Arabidopsis thaliana: one gene and its partner. The protein of the gene in region 1 interacts with the protein of each later gene in a pairwise test. Each region holds a gene or a part of one and is shown on either strand. Other genes may lie near its edges.

What was found.
Region 2: the proteins of PDE337 (region 1) and WRKY34 interact in a two-hybrid assay, tested with the Arabidopsis thaliana proteins (one large-scale study listed by BioGRID).

What each region holds. Positions count from the first base shown.
Region 1 is NC_003070.9:25,660,945-25,664,167, forward strand, and holds PDE337 (VQ motif-containing protein), read right to left. Parts: upstream 1,333-3,223; 5' UTR 1,236-1,332; coding exon 777-1,235; 3' UTR 543-776; downstream 1-542.
Region 2 is NC_003075.7:13,357,096-13,361,567, forward strand, and holds WRKY34 (WRKY DNA-binding protein 34), read right to left. Parts: upstream 2,457-4,472; 5' UTR 2,456-2,456; coding exon 2,138-2,455; intron 2,053-2,137; coding exon 1,355-2,052; intron 1,268-1,354; coding exon 1,109-1,267; intron 1,033-1,108; coding exon 501-1,032; downstream 1-500. Other genes in the region: CSN6B (COP9 signalosome subunit 6B), read left to right, coding at 150-231. UniProt on the Arabidopsis thaliana protein: Transcription factor. Interacts specifically with the W box (5'-(T)TGAC[CT]-3'), a frequently occurring elicitor-responsive cis-acting element.

The DNA of each region.
Region 1 (3,223 bases):
TGGCATGTTGATAACGGGCCTAGGATCTATATATGACAAATATAGAGATAAATATGTTTTAATAAGTTATTTGGGCTCAGGAAGAGGGCCCTAAAGGTCTATAACAAAATTATATCAAGAAAAGGACTCTTTTTTTAGCCTCTCCTGATGGTCTCAGTTTCAGATGAACTATCAATTTGTTGAGGTGAACATGCTACACTTAACAAAATAAAACACAATTTATTTAATTGTATGCCATTAGTTTCCAGTTTTTTCTACTTGGTTTTAATGTTTCCAAAATTTCTACTACTGTTTTACTTTGGGGAGGCTACTAGAAATCAATAAAAATAACTAATACTCATCTCCACCTTCAGTTTTACATTTTTTCTAGTTATAAAACTTCCTCAAAGAATTGTTAAGATGGCACATAGACCGTCATTAGAAAAACTTTCTAAGATGAGCTTGAAGCTCATTTTAATGCGAAGCCCAATAATGCATTTCTGGTCTTCAAATATTTTGTTGAAGCCCACACGTTGTCGCTGAGATTTATGGAATAATTTATGTAAAAAGAACAGGTAAACCCTTAACTTTCATGTTTAAAACAACCAAATACAGATATTAAGTGACATTGTTTTTAGTTTGTAAAGTTAAGTGACATTTACACCAACTAATCACAGTGAAACAACTTATGAACGAACGAATGAACAAACCAATTGTATACATATAAAATAGAAATCATAAAAGCATATTTTATGGGAAGTCTTATTGGAACTTTTTTTTTTTTTTGCTAAGAAGTCTTATTCGGACTTAAAAACCAAGGGTCGAAATGAATCGGTCCGGTTCGGTGACATATACATAAGTTGAGTTGGAGAACCAAACAAGGTCATCGAGCTCGGTGTGAACAACGGCATATCAGTTAACTTCTGTCGTTGTGTTCTATCCTGACTAAACGGAGCCGCCGTGTTATCATCCCCGACGTTAACCTCTTCCGTCACAACAGAAGAGGAAGATTCACTAGTGTTCCGTCTAATAATCTCGTCTAGACCCGTCAGCCTTTGAACCAGGGCCATGAAGTCTTCGGCACGCGTGTGGATCACTTTTGGAGAATGCGCGTAGATGATAACCGGAGATGCCCGTCCATGTGGTCGTGGCTTCGACTTGCAAGACGACGTTTTCTTGATGGTGTGGGATTCTCCGGCGAGTTTTAGCGACGAAGGACGTGAGCCGTTGATCTCATTGCATCTTGTTGGAATCATGGTAGGTGAATATATCAAGAGAATGGAGAATGAAAGATCAAGAAAGCTTTGAAAATAAACAGAGTTCTTGTTGATATAATACGTATATATGTAGAATTACATTTGCGTGTAAGTATGGTTAAAACTAAATAAATCGTATTTTATTGCAGCCAACGATTCTGACCGTTGACTTTATTTATTTACGATTACAGTTTTATAGTAAAACGGCCGTTGTCGTTGAATAGTATTATAACATGCCTCAGGTATATCCTGTTGATTATTAATTTCTAACACATCAAAAACTCAAGGGCCGAAAATCTTGAATTGCTCTTTTTTTATATGAAATTGCAAGCATTCCCCTTTGCAACTTTTCCACTTCTTCAAAAATTTAAAATATAGTTCAAGCGATTTTAGTTATTTCAGAAATAAATTGCAATATTATTTTGGTGGAGATGTCTTCATATTTGGTCATCTTTGAATATTACTGGCTGTGACCATGCAAGGTTGGCTGCAGATGGTTGAAATGGATTTACTTCTCTCCTTTTACGTAATAAGAAATTTATGAAAATGTTCAAAACTATCGGCTTTTAAAAGTATAAAATAAATAATTAAACCTACTTACAGGCAGCTGAAACCATTAATCTATTTGTTATCCCCAAATTGCTGGGTATTATAAATTATATCATGGACATTGTTTTCTTGTATATATACATTAATTCACCCTGTTGAAATAAATAAACAACAGACGATATTTCTTTTGCAATTGGGCAATTTAAAATCTTACGTACCTATTTTTAGACAGAATCGGCTAATTGAGCTTCTTGTATGTGAATATCAATATCCTCCTACTCTGAATTTTTGCTTGAAAAGAAGATAAATGTTCTGTAATGAAAAAATGTATGAAACTTCTTTTCTTCGAGAAAAAAAGATGTACGAGTTTCGGCTAACAATCATCGATACGTTCAATGATTGCAACAACTAACAAGTAGCTCGGGCTATTTAACACAGTTTCCTAACTACAAGTATACAAAATATATTTGTTTTTTTGTCCGCTTAATTAACTATAATACTCCATGTCCGATGAGAAATCGAACACAACTTGTAAAACACTTATTGTTTATCAAAAGTCAAAAGCCTTTTTGTACATATTAAACTTTCCATTACTAAACCAAAATAGTTTTTTTGTTTTTGTTTTGTATCAATGTTGTTAAACCAAAATAGTTTTGTGAAATAACAAGAGTCACAAGACTTACAAAGTCAGCCTCTTTGTCCTCATCGATCCGTTAAAGACCTATTAGCAACTACTAGTTGGTACATACATAGATTATAATATACTTTCACCAGCATGATATAACTCACACTTATCATCTTATTCAAAGGGCTTACCATACCCAGAGAATCGAAAACAAATAAAAAACTTAATCCAACCCCAAAACCACTCTTGTAGTCCTTTTTCCTTAGCTTAGATTGTAATTTTTTTTTTTTTTTCGTTTTTTTTAGCAGTTTTCATTCAATTTTTCTAGTGAGTTTTAACTAGAATCTCCATTTGATGCACAATATGCACCAACAAAATCTTGTGCAACACCACATGTTAGCTTGTAACACACAAATATTTCCTTATGGGTTCTAACTAGAAATTAAGAAAGAAAGAAAAAATCTGGTCCAGATGCTATCAGTAATCCTGGTAAGCCCAAAAATGAGCCCAAATATCATCAGGTAAGATGAAGTAAACACATTTGTACGGATGAAAGCCCGAGCAACAAGTCACAAGCCAAAACTTATATAGAATTTTAAATTGGAAAAGCTGAGACCTCGAGATTATAGGATCACGCGTAAACACACCACCGCACGCGTACTATTGCATCATGTAGCTAACATTTGGATCTAACTCTGCCTATTGTTATTGTTTAGGCACTGTCATATTTAATGGAACCAAATTATTATGCGTCGGGAAAGAAAAACTCAAATAAATTAATACTACTACTTGAAGGACCGATTCAATTTTCAAT
Region 2 (4,472 bases), on another chromosome or scaffold:
AAGGGAATATAAGCTTCTTTTTAAAAAAAAAATCTAATCTTGTGCTACACCTTGACCAATCCATATGTCAATTTCATTCCAACGAAATGTCCTGAAAGAATCCTTTGTATATTTGATCTCTTACTCTCCTTTTTCCCCCCAAAATGCAGCAACATGAACGAGGTGGTTGACAAATTCAACACTGCATACGACAAACACAGCCGAAGAGGTGGTAGGACTGCGTTCATGTAAAGATTAGTTTCAATGTAAAAAAACCTTTTCTTTCTTTTGGTGGTCTGGTCCCTAAGTGAAAATTTAGAACTCTTTTAAGGCATTTCACTTTTCGGAACCAAACAAACAGCTAGGAAGCTTTTCTTCTGTTTAAGCTTTGTCTAGACAGAAGCTAAGTTTAGGCCTAACTAAATTTTGCGACAAGACTGTAAAAACAAAACAGCTTTTACCTTCTCTCAATTTTTCATTTATTCAAAAATTTGAGCAATCAGTGAACAAAGAGATTTGTTTCATATCTGTCGTAATCTACTCAACATCTCTCTGCATATCAATGAGCTCGCTGACAAATCAAGTCCCTGTTGTGGTGACACTGGTTCCACCTTCGGCTGTGCTGCTAACTGCAACATTAGGCCAGTTGGATCCCCAATGTCAGGCGCCTGCAGGCTGGTAAGCTTCTCTTGCCCAATAGTTAGACCAGGCATTGAAAGATCAGAAAGCTCAGATTGGCCTATGTAAACGGAGAAACCTGTAGGATGCCTCAGGTGTGACTGGAAGTCAAATAGAGATGAGTTGGCTGTGGCCAGTCCCTCAGATCTACTGTGTGGCATTGGATAGTGCACATTGTGGTTGTGGGTCTGAGTCGCTAAACTGCCTTGGAGAGTCCCTGAACTGCCTGCACCGACGTGGCTGCTGTTGCGTGCTGCTGGTACAACGTGGGTGTGCTTGCCTATATAAGTTGTTAGTACGCTCTTGAAGTCATCAGAGGCTCTCTCTACATGCTTCGTTACGGTACATCCATTAGCTGTGCATTTATAGTAGCTCCTGAAAACATAGAAAACTGATTTTATTAAATTCAACAAAGGGATAGCAGCAGAACAGAGCATTTGGATACAAGAACCTTGGATTCGGGTTTCCTTTAACGACTTTTTGCCCATACTTGCGCCAGCGATAACCATCATCGAGGATGTCAATGTCACTTGTGGTCTGCACCACAACTCTTGGCTCACGGCTGGCTCTGGTTGATCCACTCGTTTCTGTTGCATAAGCTTCTAGTTTCCTGATACGGGAATGCCATCAGAGCTCAGAAGTCAGAACGTCTTGTCTTTCTAAGTATTATAATGGTTACTAGAGCAACTTTTTATACCTTCTCTTTGATTCGGACTCTTCTACCTCTCCATCGTAAGTCAGGGAAACACTCATGTGGGACGTGCGATCATCTTCGTTTTCATCTCTATATAAGGCATCAGCTGCTGCATCACCATACCCGAACTGATGAGTCCCGTTTTGAACCTGCATTGATCCTGAATGGCTTCCGTATTCGAGCTCTGCAGATACAGGTGATGTCCATTCTATGTTCTCATTGGTTCCAGCAAAACCTTCGTATTCGGTTGCATCTATTTGCATGTCTTGGCCAGTACCGGATGATCCAATCCCTGACCGGCGGTTAGGTGGAGGTTTGCTGTGTATATGATCTCCTGTGTATATGATCTCTATAATATGACCTTCCCGAGACCGTTCAACCTTCTTCTTGGCCTCACAATTCGGGTGCGTGCACTTGTAATAGCTCCGCGGATACTCACTTCCTTTAACTAGCTTTTGTCCATATTTTCTCCAGTTGTATCCATCATCTGCAGGTGCACAACAAGCCATCGAGTCTCCTAAACCGCCGAGCTGTCTTTCTTCATAGTCTTGGGAATCATCGGGTTCTAAAGCGATGTTAGTAGGATCAAGGCCACTTCCTGAAATGGTTTGGAAGGCTAAGGATGTGGTAATGTCGTCAAATAACTCAGCTTTAGCCTTATCAGAAGGTACTGATGAGAGCTTCCCGGTTGTTGGAGATAGCTGAGCTTACAAATGATAAGAGATTTTAGAGCACTGATTCACGAAAGAGAGAGACCATAATGAAATGTTGAAAAGAAAAAGTTACCAAAGGGTTTGAGAGGAAAACAGGAGACTCTAACAGAGTTGCAGGACTAAGACCAGGAGAAGAGATGGTTAAAGATTTCGACTGAAGAATATCCTCAGTGTTTAACCACGGTGCATTAAACCCGGATCTCGCAGCAATCCTTTCACGAAGAGCTCCTCGTGAACTTTCTTGAAAGGTGGTTTGCAAAGAATCCTCATTCTTGATGTAATTTAAAGAAAACTCTCTACCAAGTTCCGCTTTCGATCTCTTCCTGTGGTTAGTAGTACTACAGTCGAACCATTCTCCCATTACAGCAGCTTTATTATCAATACCAGCCATTGCAAACCCAAGTTTCAGCTTTAACTTGGGCTCAAGCTGAAACGTGATTAGGTGTTACATATATGACACAGAGCAGTTAACATGGAACTAAAATCTTAAAAAATTATTGTAATTAAAATGGAAACAGAGCAGTTTTTTTTATATGCAATAAGTCTTTTGATGGAGATACAAGAGTGATTAATACCTTATAACAATGAAGATAAAAGAGTGCTTAATACCTGATTTACTAATATACATGCAATAAGTGACACCCATCAGACTTTTTATTTCGCCGTTTAGACAGTAAGAGAGATCGAAACATCGAAACATGGACTTGTCTATGTCTCTCTGTTTTTATGGGTTGATCACACAAAATGATCAATATAATAAATCTTCTGTAGTAGAAATCTCTTGCTCTTGCTCTCTCTCTCTCTCGTTCTTGATTATCGTTTACCCTCAACACAATGAAAATGTATATCGGCAGAAAAACTACAAGAGATTTACACAGCTTGGTTAGATAAAATTTCTCCTTAACTCTCTAACAAACAAAAAAGTTTCAATTTGTTTTCTCCAATTGTGTTAATTAATCAGTTCCACAAAAATCACCAACAGTTTAACTATTTTTAGAAATAGAGTTTTGTGCAAAACAACCTTCAACTTTATAAACGTTTTCAAATTATTTTTTATTTTTATTTTTTTGGTAAAAGTAGACAGTGCTGTGCCCAATGACGTAAATGTTGAAGTTACAAAAATAGATGATTTTGAAGATATTTTTACACAAAACCCTTAGAAATATACATTATACTTTCTTTTCTCTAAACAGACACCTATAAGATATGAAATACCATTTATTTGTGTTTAGTCTTCTTATGTATATGGTAAGCTATATCTTTCATATAGTCTAATCAGTGCATGTCCATCAATAATACCATGCATGAGCCTTCCTCCAACTATTCACAACAGGAGCTGAATATTAAACTGGCAAATTGATGTTCTACCATATATACCTATTATATCACAACCAGCATAGTCTATAGTGGTTTTACTATAGCTAATGTAATTAGTACTAATTAAAGCTAGTTGTTAGAAAAACATGAGCAAAAAATCTAATTTGCAAACTATATTTAGTATATAAGTGATTAAGTTACAATAATCAATTAATAGAAATACTTTTTTCAATAATATTCCAACCACAGAAAAAACCAATTTCTATCATTTTGGCAGATAAACTTGGTTTCGCTAGTTTGTTAAACGAACTAGCAGTATAGCTTATTTGTTTTTGTTTATATATAGAAGAAACTCAAGCCAGTTGGGTTACCTATCTTGTTTATGAATTTTCGTTAATGTTTGCAATATTTCTGATTTTTTGTGAAAGACTAAATTGTAGAATTGTATCCACATTTTATTCTTTCCGTTCATGTCGTAGATTTTTAGTTTATGTTTCGGTCAACAAGTCGTGGAGTTAAAATATACTATACAATAAACTGAAAGTTCAAATGGAATGGGGTTCACCAACTTTTTAATTTACTTATTCTTGTGGTCACTTTCTTTCAAAATGTACTAAATAATTTTATATATTCTCATAATGTCTAAATATAAACAATAAATATGAATATGAAAATAAACATAAATATGAAAATAATTTTTCTTTTATAAAAGAATTAATAAACTAACGATAAGTGATTATAAAAAATATATGTCTTTGGAAACCAAACAAAATAGTTTAGGCTTCAATCCCATTAAATTCTCATCTAAAATTGATGCATGTAGCATGTAGATATGATCATGACAAAACGATGATTTACAAATTTTTATTTTTCATTTGTTCGTCATAAATATTTGATCGTTTATGATAATATTATTATTAGACATGACTGATTGTTATTGCACAAATAATTTACATTGTATATAGAATTTGCATCGCATTTTTATTTGCGTATCAATGGCTGACACTGAGATTTATGAGGCCACAAACAATTTCGGTTTTGGGGGCTTCATGATCTATATATAAATTTTTTTTACCGTTTGGGCCTCAAAA